2 linked regions of the Pelodiscus sinensis genome follow. The protein of the gene in region 2 interacts with the protein of the main gene of each other region in a pairwise test. Links are inferred from orthologs where the notes say so. Each region holds a gene or a part of one and is shown on either strand. Other genes may lie near its edges.

Region 1 (8,146 bases), on a different chromosome or scaffold from region 2:
ATCCAAAGACTACAGCAAAGTTTCCAGCAGGAAGCAGGACAGCAGTAAAACTCAGACCTCCCCAAAGTAAGATAGAATTTTGTTAGAAACTTGTTACTTGAATCTATTTTAATCAAAATTGATTCCCACCCAAGATCCTTTAATACAGTGGTCCCCAACACGGTGCCCGTGGGCGCCATGATGCCCACCGGGGCATTTGTGTGCGCCCGCCGACAACCTGGGCCAGCCCCGCCCGCGGCGCACGGGTGGCGCCGGCCCCAGGCGCTCGACATGCACCGGCACCGGGTTCGCGGCACTCGGGCGGCCCCAGCCCCGGGGCATATGCAGGCGCTTGGGCACGCGGCGCTCGAGCGGCGCCGGTGCCAGCCCCAGGCGCGCGGCTCGGGCGGCCCCAGCCCCGGCCCTAGAGCACATGCCGGTGCCGGGTGCAAGGGCATCCCAGTCGCCTGGCGTGCTCCCGGACGCGCGGTCCTGCCCCCGGGCGCCCGGCGCGTGAGTTGCCCCGCCCCCGGGGCTGGGAGCCTCTAAAGGTTGGGGACCACTGCTTTAATAATATAAATTTCACTCTTGTGAAACATTTAAAATGTAGCAGTAGTAACAAACAAACAAAAAACTAAATGGAGGACTGCAATAGATATGTATGCTAGAATAAACAGCTACTAAAATTAGGTATGGGATAAAGACCCTTTCAACTATATGCAAGCATAGGAAAGACAAAGAGTGTACTCTAGTCCAGTGTTTCTTAATCTTTTTGATACCTGGCCTCTGCCTTCCTAAACTGTGTCAGGGAGATCTCAGGGAGCCAGCACCACAGATCACTCCCTGAGAAACACTACTTTCGTCTAGAACAGTAGTAGGCTGCATGCTCCCCTTCAGGGTTCTTGTGTGGCCCACGAGACATTTAGTTTATTATTGCCCTTGCACAGGGTTGCCAGATTCTGCTGGGTTCAATCCGCATATTACTAAAGTGGCATGCTTGTAAAGCAAGGGTGGAGAACCTTTTTGGGGCGGGGGCTGCTGACCCACATAAAAATCAGTCAGGTGGGAGGCAGTGGGGGTCTGGAATGCCAGTGCAGTCTTCCCAATGGGGGAGGGGAGGAGCCCCGAGCCCCTGGGGGCCAGATCTAGGCAAGCTGGGGGACTGCATTTGGCCCCTGGGCCTTAGGTTCACCATCCCTGTTGTAAAGCAAGGACACATGGAATGATGTGAGCGCTGATTGCACTAGGGATGTTAAAGACTAGTCGACCTTCCGATAAGCAAATGCTTATCAGATAGTCAGTCAACTAGTCAATTCCTCCTGCTTTGCTGCCTCTATCAGAGTCAGTAAAGGGGGGGGGAGAAGGGGTACTTCAAAGAAGAGGTACTCCAAGGAGGCATTTCAAAGGGGGCTGCCCCTTTAAAACACCACCTCTGGCATTTCAAAGGGGCAGCTGCCAAGGAGCCCGGGGTCAGCTGGGGACTCCCCAGCTGATCTGGGTTCCACTGTAATTCTGCATGGAACCTGAGGTCAGCTGGAGAGTCCCACGCTGACCCTGGGCTCCATGGCTTTGAAATGCACAAGAGTCCCTGCTGCGGACTCTTGTACATTTCAAAGCAGACACGCCAGTGTGGAGCCCAGAGTCAGTGGGACTTCCCACTGGCCCCGGCTGCAGGCGGAGTTCTGCATTCCTCCTTTGAAATGCACAAAAACCCCAACAGGGCTCTTGTGCATTTCAAAGGAGGAATGCAGAAGTGCCTATCGAGTAGTCGATGGAAATTCCATCAACCACTCGACTAGTCAATTAACCGCAATTTAACATCTCTAGAGTGCACACTACATTGACTGTGACAGTCGTGCATGTCCTCTGCCTCCGATCGAAATGCTGCTACAGTTCAATCGGCGCCCCTGCAAATGCTAGATAGGGAAGCACAGTTAGCAAAACTACCCTACCCCACGAAATCGTCTTGGTTACAACAATCTTGTGGCTCACTGAGATGACTAAGCCTGCAAGACTTCTTTCATGCTGCCTCTTATGCTGGGAGAGTTCTTCCTGATCGTGTGCATCATATCACCTTTATTTCCTTCTTCTGACCCTCCCCACGCACCCCCTCTCTTCCAGACCCCCCCTCCAGACTCTGCATCTTCATCCTCCTCCTGCATCTTCCACCCTTGCAGACCCTACTCCCTCAACCCCAGTCCACACCTGCACCCTACCTCCTGCCCACAACCCGAACTCCTACCCCCAGCCCGCTCCTGGCAGCCCCCTCCTGCACACTGAACCCCTCCTTTTTGGCCCTGCCAAACAAACCCTAGTAGCCCCAGGCTCTGGAGGAGTTAATTTGGCCCTAGGGCCTCCCCATGGGGCTGAAGCTTGAGGGGAGTTTTTTCCCCCTGATTCTGAGGGGGGGGGCTACATCTGGGAGGGTTTTTTTTCTCCTCAGGGGGCCAGGACACTAAGAGGGTTTTTTTGTGCTTCTCTTTTGTGTGTGGCCCCCAACTGATGTTTTGATGGGTCTGTGCCCCCCCCCCCCCCCAAAAAAAAAGTTCCCCACCCCGGGCTTACTGGGACCACTGTTCCCAACCCCTCCTCCAGGAACCAGTAGGGACCCTACTGCCCTCCCCCTTCCCTGTGGGACCCGCCCCTCCCCCGCCCAAGCCCCGCCCACCCCAGCAAGCCCCGCCCCTGAAGTCCACGCGGCGGCGGTTTACCCCAGTGCCCCCTAACGGAACAGCAGGGGAGGCGCCGCGCTCCCGCCAGAGCGCGCATCTGAGGTGGCTGGGAGCGCGCAGCCACCGCCTGCCTAAGCTCGCACCCCCCTCTCCGCTTCACTTGGTATCTTCCTACTTCTCACCCCCTCCCACCCCGCCCCGCCGCCGCATGGTCTCTCCCGGGCTCGCGGCCCGCTTTGCCCCCAGCCCGTCACCTCACGCCGGCTTCGCTCAGGCCCCGAGCCCGACTCCGCTCCAGTCCCAGCGGCCGTCCCCACGTGCTCAGGCTCGGCGCGGCTGGGCACGCGTACGTGCGCGCTCACGAGGCGGGCGGGGGGGGGGGTGTGTGAGGCTCGTGCCCTCACGCCGCGCGTTTGGGTCACGTCGCCGGTGGCGTGTGGCACTGCAGCCGGGGGCGGGTCGACCTCGGCACGGAGGCTGTGAGGGGAGGGCTGGCGTGAGAGGGGGCGGGGTTGGGCTCGCAACGGTGAAAAGGGGCAGCGGGGTCGCACCGCGGGAGGCTGGAGTTGGGGGGGGTCGCACCGTGGGGGAGGAGGAGCGATGGGGTTGGGGGGTCGTACTGCGAGAGGAGGGGGGGAGGAGCGGTGGGGTTGGGGGTCGCACTCTGTGAGGCGAGAACTGGGGGGGGAGGAACGGTGGGGTTGGGGGGTCGTACTGCGAGAGGAGGGGGGGAGGAGCAGTGGGGTTGGGGGTTGTACTGTGGGGGGGGAGGAGCGGTGGGGTTGGGGGTTGCACTGTGGGGGGGGAGGAGCGGTGGGGTTGGGGGTTGCACTGTGGGGGGGGAGGAGCGGTGGGGTTGGGGGTCGCATCGTGGGGGGGGGAGGAGCGGTGGGGTTGGGGGTCGCATCGTGGGGGGGGGGAGGAGCGGTGGGGTTGGGGGTCGCACCGTGGGGGGGGGGGAGGAGTGGTGGGGTTGGAGTCGCCCCGTTGGCAGCACGGGGCTTGTGGAGTTTGACATCATTGATTGTGGTGAAGATTTGTTTGTTTTGCTTTTTTGTTTTGTTTTGTTTGTAAAACCAAGGCACCCTTTAGGCTGTGTTTAGAAGTATGCCTGAAAACCATCTGCAGGCACCAAGGTTCGTCTCTGGACTTTGGCAACGTGTAGTTCCTGCAAAGCTGCAGAATAATAATTATGGGTAAATAGTTTCCTCCTTGCTAGCACTGTTAAATAATGAAACTGGGGTCTGGCCAGTCTCCCTCCCCCTCTGTGCTGCAGCCTTGGCAATACATAAAGAGTTCAGATTTACTTGGGTCTCTTCATTGGCAGGAGAGCTTCAATTTATATTAATTTGAAGGCTATTGTTTATATTTATTTTTGCAACATGGGGGTCCCTGCACACATCTGCAGCCAGGTGTGACTCTCAGGCAGCAGGTAGAACAGAAGGTTCATTAGTTCTCAGGGATACAAGGTAAAACATATTTGTTAGTACAGGAACCAAAAGCAGACAGTACAATCCACCTTGAGGAAAAGGGGGGCCTGGAGCCAGGGCCCTCCCTCTGTATCTTAAGCCAGCGGAGACTAACTCACTCCGCAGCCCGACCCAGCTTTATAGGCAGCCCCACTTCTTCCTTTGTTCAGCTTCCTGAGCTTAAGGTGTCACCTGTTTGCATCTCCCTTCCAGGCTCACCTTACAGTGAACCTGGGCCATTGTGACCGTGCTAGCCTGGTCAGCCTCCCCTCAGTGAGAGTCACACCCAAAATTCCCATCTCCAATTTGGCACTGGTGCTATGCCCAGGGAAACAGATCCACACACAAAGTTACTACAGTGCAGGACAACAGAAATCACATGCAACATAAAGCGGACAGAGCGAATGGAACCCCCACTTTGTCACATCCATGTTACAAGTGAAACATTTAAATGCTTGCCCTTTATTTAATTTTTATTCTGCATTCACTCAACTAAATTACTCTTAATTCTGTCTGGCAGATAAATTAGTTTGGCCTGGTTCTCAGCTCTAATTTTACTTCCTAGTACATCTATCTGAGGAATAATCTGTAAAAACAGCAGACACGTGACACATGGCCATTATTTAGCCATGTTATAAAATAGGGATGAGATCCTATCTGTACTACATGTTGGCACAATTTTGAATCTGGGTTAGAATCTGTGTACTGCTTTGTTGCAACCACTTTACTTAACTGTCTATATTTGTAGCATAAATGACCATACATGAGTCTCCTGTTTCCATTGTAATGAATGGAACTTGATGATAACCACTTACAGCAGGGGTTTGCATCCATGTAATTACATTGATGTAGTTCTCATGTAGACAGGGCTCTTAATTAAGTAAGCTGATACTTATATTGTCACCTTTTGACTTCCTAGTAATATGAGTTTACATATCTGAGAGCAAGTATATCACAGACTTTAGAAGATAGAGCTGGATTAAATAACATTTGGGAGGTTTTTCCCTAAATCATAAAGGCTTACGTATTACAGGCAGCATTAATCTCTGCAGAATGTTATGTTGCTGTAAGGGTCAGAGGAATGCACAAAGCAGTATGTGTGCTAGAAAGAATGATATGGATGCTCAGATATCAAAAGGGGGAGAGGATAGCCCATAAACTTTGGTAAGAAGAAAATGTTTGTTTTAATGAAATCTTCCAAACCAAAAAACAATGATCCTTTCCAAAACCTGTGTATCTTTGTGTCAGTGGAATAACAAGTAATTAATGTTTTCCATGGACTGGCGTCTGTTTTCCATTGGTAATAGTCATTCTATTATCCGTTTAGCTGAAAATAACACACAGTTCCTGCAAATATGCTAAACACCAGTACATCACCCCTTCATGATAGACTCTGCCAGGACTTTTCATAAGTGATCTAGTAAGGTGACATGGATGACAGTTATGAGTCTTGGTACAGAAGAAGGTGCATGATGGAGAGTGAGAATAGGCTAGGAAGAAGAGTGAGGAATGAGACAGGATATAAGGATGACATGAAGGTGGATATGTAGGTGGCAGGCAGTGATCCAAAGGTTTGAGATGAAGATGAGAAATAGAGATTGTGAGTAGTTCTAGTCCTGCTCTCTGCTCAGCACAATTTATTGCATTTGCTGTTTGAAACTGATTCCTTTTGGAATTTGGAAATTCCACATCATGTATAATAAAACTCCTGTCAGTTCCAGAACTTTCCCAAATGTTTTTCAATGCATTTATAGTTCATTTTCCTAGTTATATAATACAGTTTGTATAATACAAATACATTTATGACTAACCTCTGTTCTCTGGAACAAAATCTTTCATGGTGTGACACTGCTAAATTCAGTGGAAATATACAATGGAGGAGTTTAATCTCCACTTTCTGTAGTAGTCCATAAATAAGCTTCCTAAATTGATGAATTCCCAGGTTCCTCCCTGCACCGTTCCCATCCATCTGCAGTCTAGAGCCTTTGTGATCTTTCCCTGACTGCTTCCTAATGCTGTGTTTGTTACATTCTGGTCATCTTGTACTCACTTGACAACTATGTTATCTGTGTTGTGGAGGGGGCTATTGGGGGCACTGAGAGGGATTTGAATGGAGTCAGTGAATCTTGTTTTGCAGAAAGACCTGGGATTTAGAAATGACACAGCTGAGACTCCCTGTAGAATATGGTTACACATGTGCCAGAAATTTCATAATTTATCCCCTGTAGCACAGTAATATTCTAGTGGCGTAACACCAGGATCACTTTGGGCGTGTTTACTGCAGCATCGCTCTTCTGGGTCAGTCAAATACATTTTTATTTATTATGACTGCATCTGATGTCCGAAGGTCTCGCGGAGATTAAGGCAAATTTGTACAGATTTTTATATACACATATGTATGCACTGATTATTCTAAATAATATTTCATGCTTTCAAATATATTGTTATGTTCTGGTCATGCAGTAAGCTCTGCAGAGGTGTCCACCTATTTTCTGTAAGATTGGTATTGTAGCTAGTAGCAATTGCCTCTTCCAAACAACCAAAACTTCCTAAAAAAAAGTTATTGTCGCTATTCAAATGTGACATGTTTTTATGCCTATTGTGATGTTAATTTTGTCTGAAATTTTGTATGTCCCCATGGAGGATGGGTGATGCTGATTTAGAAAGACAGAATCTAGATTGCTTAGAGGAAGTGTTCTTTTCGCAATTAGGCTAGAAGGCCACTTTTATTCATTTTTTGCAGATCTTTGGCATTTAATTATTTACACAAGATTTTGAAATGAAGTGTGTTCTCTTTTGCAGGCTTCAAATGTTGCCTTCAGCCATTCATCTGTGAACATACAACAGGGGTGGTCAATAATTTTTGACGGGGGACCATTCCAAGATTTTTGGAATGTGATTGAAGGCCATACTTTTCCAGAATATTAATGGAGGAGGTGAGGGGTCTGGGATGGAGGTTGAGTACAGAAGGGAGCTTTGGATACGGGATTGGGGTGCAGCAGGGAGAATGGGGTCTCAGAGGGAGTTTGGGTGAAGAAGACGGGACTGGGATGCAGGATTTTGGGATGTGACCTAGGCTAGGAGGGGATTGTGATCTGAGACAGGAGACTGGGGTGCCAGATCTGGGAGGGGGTATAGGTACAGTAGGGGCAAAGGGTTTGAGTAGGGGGGGGCAGAGGGTTGGAGAAGGGAGGGGCTAGGGTGCCAGAGGCAGGCTCTGCTAGGAGGCATTTACCAGCAGAAACCTAAGGCAGACTGACAGCTGCAGGCTGCTTGCAGCTCCACATGGCTCTGCTGTGGGCATGAGAGGGAAGGGAAAGGGGAAGAAGGATGGATGAGGAGGAAGGGAGAAGGCTTCCTACACTGCCTCTGCTCCCACAAAAATTCTCAGCTCATATTGGCCCAAAACTGAGAGATTGGCCAATGAGAGGTAAGAGATTTTGCTGGGGGGCGGGAACAGCATTAGAAGTCTCCCTCCTCCCTCCCCTGCCATACCAAGTGGATAACAGCTTCTTTTTTTTTAAATGTGAACTGATCTTTGCCTAAGGGTTGAAGGAGATCTGTATTGTTAAATGAAATAATTGTTACTGAACTACATTTAAAAAACTCTGTGGTTCCCTTTTTGTGACCCACCATGACACGTCCTTAAGATGATACAGAATTTGGGATGTCTGTGCTTTCTCTTTCTTGCCGTTTACATTTCTGAATACAGTTGCATCGCCGGCTCCAACGAAGGCATGGACGCTCAGAAAAGAAACAGAAGCCATTAGAAGGTTGGTAGGAAAGACGTTGACAGACCAAAACACCAAGAATTTGAAGCTAGCATAATGATGATTTGTTTCTAGAAAGACTAATCTGAATTTTGACAAGAATGCACTTCAGAGTGTAAAAGCATGAAACAATGTGGCTTTTGCCCCAGACATCTGCAGCATGGCATATGCCCTCTTGCGGGGGATCTTTGAATAATTAAATCTAGGGCCTACAAAACAACAGAGAGTCCACGTTAACCTGCCTTTTCTTGCAAGT
Region 2 (7,406 bases):
CCCAACTCGCTGAACCCTTCTGAGGCCGCCCTCCCACTCAGACACGTGCTGGATTTTATGAGTCTCTCTTCCCTTTAACTTTGCCCTTTTCCTCTCCGCCTTTGTTTCTTGAGAAAGGTCATTGTGCCTCCGACGCTGGGGTCAGCCCTGATCCTAAATCCAGCTGGCAGCATCTCACTGCAGCCTGTGCCACCATATATGGTCAGTACTGGGGAGAGAACCAGTAGAACAGGGCTGGAGGTGGCTTGGACGGCAGCCATCAGGAGGGCTTGGACTCAGCTGCATGCTGAAACCCCTCTGTGCTGTGGCCAGCCGGAGCTGCTCTTTGGAGCTCAGCAACTTTGGTATGGAACGGTACGAAGTGCAACAGGGGAAGCAAGCACCCCTCTCCCTGTGGAGAAGGATGGGGCCAAAGAGCCCAAGAGATACCAGAGCCCCAGACAAATATAACTCAGAAAAACCTCAAACCTCCATGTCCTTCAACACCCCTCCTCCTCCTCCCGCAGAGAGTCCCTGGCAAACCCATGCAGGCAGAGCTGTTCCCACCTCTTCTCCCTCCCCCACCCCAGGGCATGTTTCAAACTGAGCCTGGCTAGTTCTCCTTACATAGAGGTTTCCAAGTGACTGCAAAGAGTTGAGCAAAATTTAAGGTAAGGTGCCAAGTGGCCCCATAAAATGATTCAGGGGCTCCACTCCCCCCCACCCCGCTGCACGTCAGGAGAATCTGACATGTGTCTGTCACAAGGTAACGCTTTTCCATGTCTGAGACAGCGGCAGAGGGCCACACACTTCGTTCTAGGTCGGCTCTGACTGGTACTCGCCTGCTCGGTCACCAGGCCAGGCCCTCCCAGCGATGCGGCACCTTTGGCGCTCCGTAACACCGAGGGCCCCAGATGAGTCACTACGCCATGGTGGTTAGCTCCCAGCTGCACCACGGGAATGGTTGAAGGGGAAAGCCTGGCCATAAATGAAGGGGAACAACAAATTGAAGGTTTGAGGGCAGCGGCTCTGAGCAGCCAAAACAAAAGACGTTTTCTTTGGAATTCAGGGCTTTTCCTGGCAGAAATTCACAGTTTTCTCGCCAATGGGACACTTGGCAGGTCAACCCCCCTTCTAACCCCCCCTTGCTACCGGGCCTCTACCCATGCCGTAGGATGAGCTCATCCCACTAAGCTGGCTAGGAGGTGGGTAGAGTCTGGGTGCCCCAGGGCAATGACCAGATGGGATTGATGTCTTGCTAGGGCACTGACAATGCAGTTTCTGGGAGCAAAAGCCTCCATCTCGGGTATCACCATGCAGAAGAGGATTCCTGTGAGAGATTCTCCAGTTCCAGGGCCCGATAGCCCCACAGCAGCACCTACCAAGTGGTCACTGCTATGGAAAAGAATCAGACCGGTGACTTCTGGGAGGCAGAGCCTAATGCTGCAAATAAGGCACAGGCCTGACCTCCCAGCTCCGCCACAGACTTCTCGTGTGGCCCTTGGCAAAGTCACTGCCCTGCCTTCACCTCCCCAGCTGTGTGAGGTGGCTAATGATCCCACGCTTCCTCACGGGAGAGGGGGGAATGTAAAGCCGTTCACGGGTCTGAGCTGTGCAGGCACCAGCTCTAAATCAGATACAGGGGGCCAATGCTGCCATCACGCCAAGAGAACCAAACCGCATCTGATGAGAGCAGCAGCTAGTTCCACCTTCAGGGGAGAGAGAGTGCACAAGCTGCTCTCCAGAAAAGCGAAAGCCTGCCATCTGCTGGACACAAGCCACAAGCCAGCCCTTGTTTTGTCCCGGGGCTCCCACAGCTCAAGAGCTTACAACGCTCACCTTCCCGTGAATGGGCTGGGAGAGACCAGAGCGTGGGTCTGCCCTACTAGTTATGTCTCCATGGCAAACAGGCAACTTCCTGCTTCTGCAGCCAGGAAAGCAGTGCTTAGTATTGAGGAGTAGAACCGGAAGGGTTTTCGGTGACATTAGTCAAGTTTTCATTCAATGCTGCTGCAAAGATCAGGGGCAATTAGTGCCTGTGGGGGAAGGGGGTATGAGGGCCACTCTGATGGGTAGGAGGCATATGGGGGCACCCCATTTAGCAATTAAAATGTTGGTGGGGGCATAGCGGGCAGTGCACCTACAATGTGCTACCTCTGGCATAGATCATTTTCCTGGCTCGCTGTGCTGTCTTGTACCTCTGTTCAGCCTCCCCTCATTTACCTTTCTTTCACTGCATTAAGTGCAAACTACCTGTCTTTACTTTCAAGGCCTTATCTGACCTATCCCATGCCTGAATTGTCATCCATAGAACAGTCATGTAATTAATACCCCCTCGCCTCATGTGCACTATCGACCCATGAAAATGGCACTTTGGGCTTTCCATCAATGCTTGTTGATCAGGCAGCGGGCTTTGCAGTGCACTCAAAGGCTTTCTTTGTGCTGTTCTTCACAGGTCAGATCTAGAGAGGAGAGGAAGAAGGCCAGAGCACCCCAAATGCTGTGCCCACAGCCCCTCCCTTTTACTGCACCGTGAACTCCAAGTGCTCAAAAGTCATGAGTCAAGGGCCAGAGCCAAATAATCATGAGATTGGCTGAAACATCATGAGATTTAAAGCAAACACTCGGTGTGTGTGAAGGGCGGACATATTTATTTATTTTCTGATTTCTAAGCCTGCAGGCCAGGCTCAGGTTATGTTGTCTGCGAAGTGGTGAGGGCTAGAAGCGTCTTTATTTTCAAGGACAGAGATGGCTATGTACACAATGTTTTACTGACCCTGCAACTATCAGCACATGCACAAAGAAATTAGAAGAGCAGGCAATGCTACTTGTAGGTAGGGGGTTCCAGCTTGGAGTAAGGGGCTGGGCTAGGCCTGTGCTGTCAACAGTGGTGACAATGGCAGCTGTCTCACACACACACACAGTGCACAATGATCACAGGCATATGTGCACCCACGCATAAGGTGCACAGGGCACTCACATAGACTGAATGTAACCCACACACCTCGTGAAGTTCACTGTCCCATGTAGTGGCATTTAGACCACTTACAGCTAGATATAAGAACAAGGGAGCTCTACAGCCACAGCTAAGTGGTAGATGGCTTTATAGCTCAAGCTGTAGAGGGTCTATACTAAACTCCAAAGAGCTCAGGTTCAAATCTGGCCCGTGGTGGTTATCAGTGGGCACTTGTCAGCAATTTCAACTGGGTCTCAAGCTCAGAATGCACTTCCTCAGCTAGGGGGGAAGTATGTAACCCACCCATCTCATGTGGTTCACTGTCTTATGTAGTGGCACTTAGACCACTTACAGCCAGAGATAAGAACAAGGGAGCTCTACAGCCTAAGCTGAGTGGCAGCTGGCTTCGTAGCTCAAGCTGTGAGAGACTCTTATAGTGACCTCCAGAGGTCCCAGATTTAAATCTGCTCGGTGGCACTTAGTGGCACTTACATACGTGCACACACAGCTGGTATTCAACCCATGCAAAGGACACACACAGAGGCATATGCACATGTAGCCCCCCACACCTACGGGGGGGGGTTCACTGTCCGACAAGGCACTGAGACCGCTTACAGAGAGAATTATGCGATCGTGTTCTACAGCCGAATCTGAGGCCAACTGGGTTTTAGCTCAAGCTGTGGACAGAGGCTCTTGCACTAAGCTGCAGAGAGGACCCCGGTTCGGTTCTGCCTCTTGGCGTTACACGTGCATGTGCGCACACAGGACATATAGGACACGTGTCTACATGCAAAGGATGCACACCCACGGGGGGCACATGCACACACACACTGCAGGGACACACGCACACGGAACACACGGAACTCTGCTGTCAGTGTCCAACGGGGGGCGCATCCCGAGGGAGGGTTTCCGGTCGGGCCGGGGACAGAGGCGCACCGGAGGGAGGGTTTCCGGTCGGGCCGGGGACAGAGGCGCACCGGAGGGAGGGTTTCCGGTCGGGCCGGGGACAGAGGCGCACCGGAGGGAGGGTTTCCGGTCGGGTTGGTGACAGGGGAGCGCACCGGAGGGAGGGTTTCCGGTCGGGTTGGTGACAGGGGAGCACCGGAGGGAGGGTTTCCGGTCGGGTTGGTGACAGGGGAGCGCACCGGAGGGAGGGTTTCCGGTCGGGTTGGTGACAGGGGAGCGCACCGGAGGGAGGGTTTCCGGTCGGGTTGGTGACAGGGGAGCACCGCAGGGAGGGTTTCCGGTCGGGCGGGGGACAGAAGCGCACCGGAGGGAGGGTTTCCGGTCGGGTTGGTGACAGGGGAGCGCACCGGAGGGAGGGTTTCCGGTCGGGTTGGTGACAGGGGAGCGCACCGGAGGGAGGGTTTCCGGTCGGGTTGGTGACAGGGGAGCACCGGAGGGAGGGTTTCCGGTCGGGTTGGTGACAGGGGAGCGCACCGGAGGGAGGGTTTCCGGTCGGGCCGGGGACAGAGGCGCACCGCAGGGAGGGTTCCGGCTGGCGCGCGGGGAAGATGGAGACGATCCTGGAGCAGCAGCGGCGCTACCATGAGGAGCGGGAGCGGCTCATGGACGTGATGGCCAAGGAGATGCTGATTAAGAAATCCACGGTGCGGGGGGGAGGGGCCCTGCTCTTCCGCCCGCGTGTCGGGCCGGCCTCAGCCCTCCCCTCCCGGAGGGGCCCCCAGCAGGGCTGGGTGCGGGGCAGTGACTGTCCTGGGGCGAGCCGGGCACCAGACAGCCCCCCACAGCGCAGCTTCCTGGCCCATGGGCCCCTGGCTCCCTGACGTGGGCCCCCGTTCACCCGTCTCTGTCCCAGGGGTGGCCCCCCTCATAATTCCCCCACCTCAGTGAAGCCGCCTCCCGTCAGAGCGCGGTGCAAGTGCAGTGCGATGCCAATGACCCACCAGCAGCCTTTGTCCCAGTGAGCGACTCCTCGCATACCCCTAGCTGACTGGGGCAGATGAAGACTGTTCTTTGCTGAACTTTCCCAGATTTGGAGTTGGGGAAAGCGTGGCTAATCTTTTTTTTCTGATCTGTCTTATAGTTACGGGACCAGATTAACTCTGATCATCGCACCCGAGCGATGCAGGACGTGAGTATCGCCTCTTCTCTTTCCCTCGCGCCTTGTTCCCTAAAGATTATGGGCTGGAGCACAGGCTGTTTCGGTGTAGTGAGTTACTTAAGCGATACATCGCAAACTGTATTTCTGGATGTGTGTAGCACAGGGGTTCTCAAACTTCATTGCTCTGCAACCTCTTTCTGACAGCAGAAGATACTATACCACCCTAGGAGAGAGACCAAAACCTGAGCCTGTCCAAGCCGCACCATCCCAGGTGGGAGTGGGGCCAAAACCCCACCGCCATGATGTTGAGGCAAAGCCCGAAGCCAAGAGCTTTTGTCCCAGGCATGGGGCCTGTAACTTGAGCCCTGCCACCTGAGCTGAAATTCTTGGTCTTTGGCTTTAGCTTCGGGCAGTGGGGTTTGAGCTTTGGCCCTGGGCCCCAGTGAGTCTAAGCGAGTCCTTGCAATCCCATTAAAATAGGGTTGGAACCCACTTTGGGGTCCTGGCCCACAGTTTGAGAATTGCTGGTATAACACATTAAGATTGCAGGGTGCAAGGTTAAAAAAAAATGGTTTTGTGTGCGGCATAGTAACTGATAGACATATGCAAGCTGATAACAGTATTTACTGGAGTTTTGCTTACCATAAAGTTCATGAGCTGAGTTTGCCTAGATTTGGTTCTATCTGCAAATTTTTAAAGTGTTTTCATATTTATACCAATATTTATTCTGCAGAGATACTTGATACTGAAGTTATAGGATTTATTTTGCACAATGCTTGATGCATCTGCATTACCTTTTACCAGAACCTGGGCACATGGAACATAAGTAATTCCATCCTGCACCCTAACTCATCAGTTTTAGCATTAAAAACATTTAGCTATATTTTAAATCAGCTGTATTATTTTCATTGCAGCTAATTTATTAAACAGCAAAACTCCACAGAAGATCATGAAATGACTTGGGTAGCGAGATATTGTATTTCCCTGAAAATACTTTCAGCTGCTAAATTTCCCTATAATGTTTCATTACCTTTCACTGAGCAGCCTTTCATTTCTTTGTCTGTTTAGCTCAAGTTTGTGGGATTGTTATTTCAAATGTAAGCAAGCTTTTGCAAGCTTCCAAGAAAGCAGCTTATTTTTCCTAACTCTGCATGTTGTGCTGAAGTGCAGCAAAAGTATATGCATAACTGTAACATGTTTTTTTGTTTTTTAGAGATATATGGAAGTGAGTGGCAATCTGAGAGACCTGTATGATGATAAGGATGGGTAAGTGTCTGCAAAAAAGATGTGAACGGGCTTTTTTAAAAGCTGAAAGATCTGCTAGCTAAACACCTTCACACAGAGTATGTCTGCAAGCACTTTAACAGCCCCTTAGCCCAAGCCCTGCATACCCAAGTCAGTTGACACAGGCCAATTGCTGGTTTTTAATTTCAGTGTAGATGTCCCTTTAGTGCTTTCAGAGCTACAGGAGAGTCTTACTGGCACTTCTTTAGGTCACATATAAAGAGAGCGATGCATTTAGAGCTATGATGATAGAAATGTAGCCCTGTTAGTCTGGTCTAGCTGAAACAAAAAACAGGACTATGTAGCACTTTAAAGACTAGCAAGATGGTTTATTAGGTGAGCAGCTTTTGTGGGCCAGACCCACTTCCTCAAATCAAATAGTGGAAGAAAATTTAGGAAAATTTTCTTCCACTATTTGATCTGAGGAAGTGGGTCTGGCCCACGAAAGCTCATCACCTAATAAACCATCTTGCTAGTCTTTAAAGTGCTACATAGTCCTGTTTTTTGTTTAATTTAGAGCTATGGCACTTGTTTAAAAAAAAAAAAAATCCCCCCCCCCCACCTTTCTCCAAAGCAAATTTAAGTTTTCTTGCAGAAGTTTTATTGCACTTGCCAGTTTTTAACATGAGAGTAAAAGTCTAATGCTGGAAACAAATCCCTGACCAGACATTATTAGTAGGCGTCTTGACATAACTTCATCAGTGCCATAGAGCAACATGTCGTTGCAAAGCTGTCACTGACATAAGATTTGCCAGCAAAGTACTGTTTGATCCAAAGTGTGTGGGAGTAGGAAGGGGAGGGAAAGAATAAATCTGCCATAAATCTAGCCCTTCTAAAATATCATGTTGGAGAAAAAATCACGACTGAAATGGTCCATCAAATAAGATGCAGTTAGGGCTGAGTTATCTGCACTCCCATTTGTAGGTGTAATGACCTTTAAGAGGGGGGAACCAACAAAAACAACTGAATGTGCCAATTGCAGTGTTTCCCTTCTGGTTCATACTAAGACCTATACACGGTTAAAGATTCCTGCAAATCCCATTTAACTTGCTGTGTGTTGCTTCTTCAGTAGAATAAGGGACAAGAAGGGGTGTTGCTGATTCTGCACACTTCAGCAGTAAA

What was found.
Region 1: the proteins of SF3A3 (region 2) and TADA2A interact in binary tests that used the Homo sapiens proteins (3 or more experiments, as listed by UniProt). The two-hybrid records come from large-scale screens. The link is inferred for Pelodiscus sinensis from reciprocal best matches to the Homo sapiens genes SF3A3 and TADA2A.

What each region holds. Positions count from the first base shown.
Region 1 is NC_134731.1:8,816,258-8,824,403, reverse strand, and holds the start of TADA2A (transcriptional adapter 2-alpha), read right to left. Parts: upstream 3,062-8,146; 5' UTR 2,906-3,061; intron 1-2,905. Other genes in the region: C21H17orf78 (uncharacterized protein C17orf78 homolog), read right to left, coding at 7,766-7,864. UniProt on the Homo sapiens protein: Component of the ATAC complex, a complex with histone acetyltransferase activity on histones H3 and H4. Required for the function of some acidic activation domains, which activate transcription from a distant site. Binds double-stranded DNA.
Region 2 is NC_134735.1:10,736,929-10,744,334, reverse strand, and holds the start of SF3A3 (splicing factor 3A subunit 3), read left to right. Parts: upstream 1-4,375; 5' UTR 4,376-4,385; intron 4,386-4,425; 5' UTR 4,426-4,449; coding exon 4,450-4,545; intron 4,546-4,982; coding exon 4,983-5,030; intron 5,031-6,213; coding exon 6,214-6,266; intron 6,267-7,406. UniProt on the Homo sapiens protein: Component of the 17S U2 SnRNP complex of the spliceosome, a large ribonucleoprotein complex that removes introns from transcribed pre-mRNAs.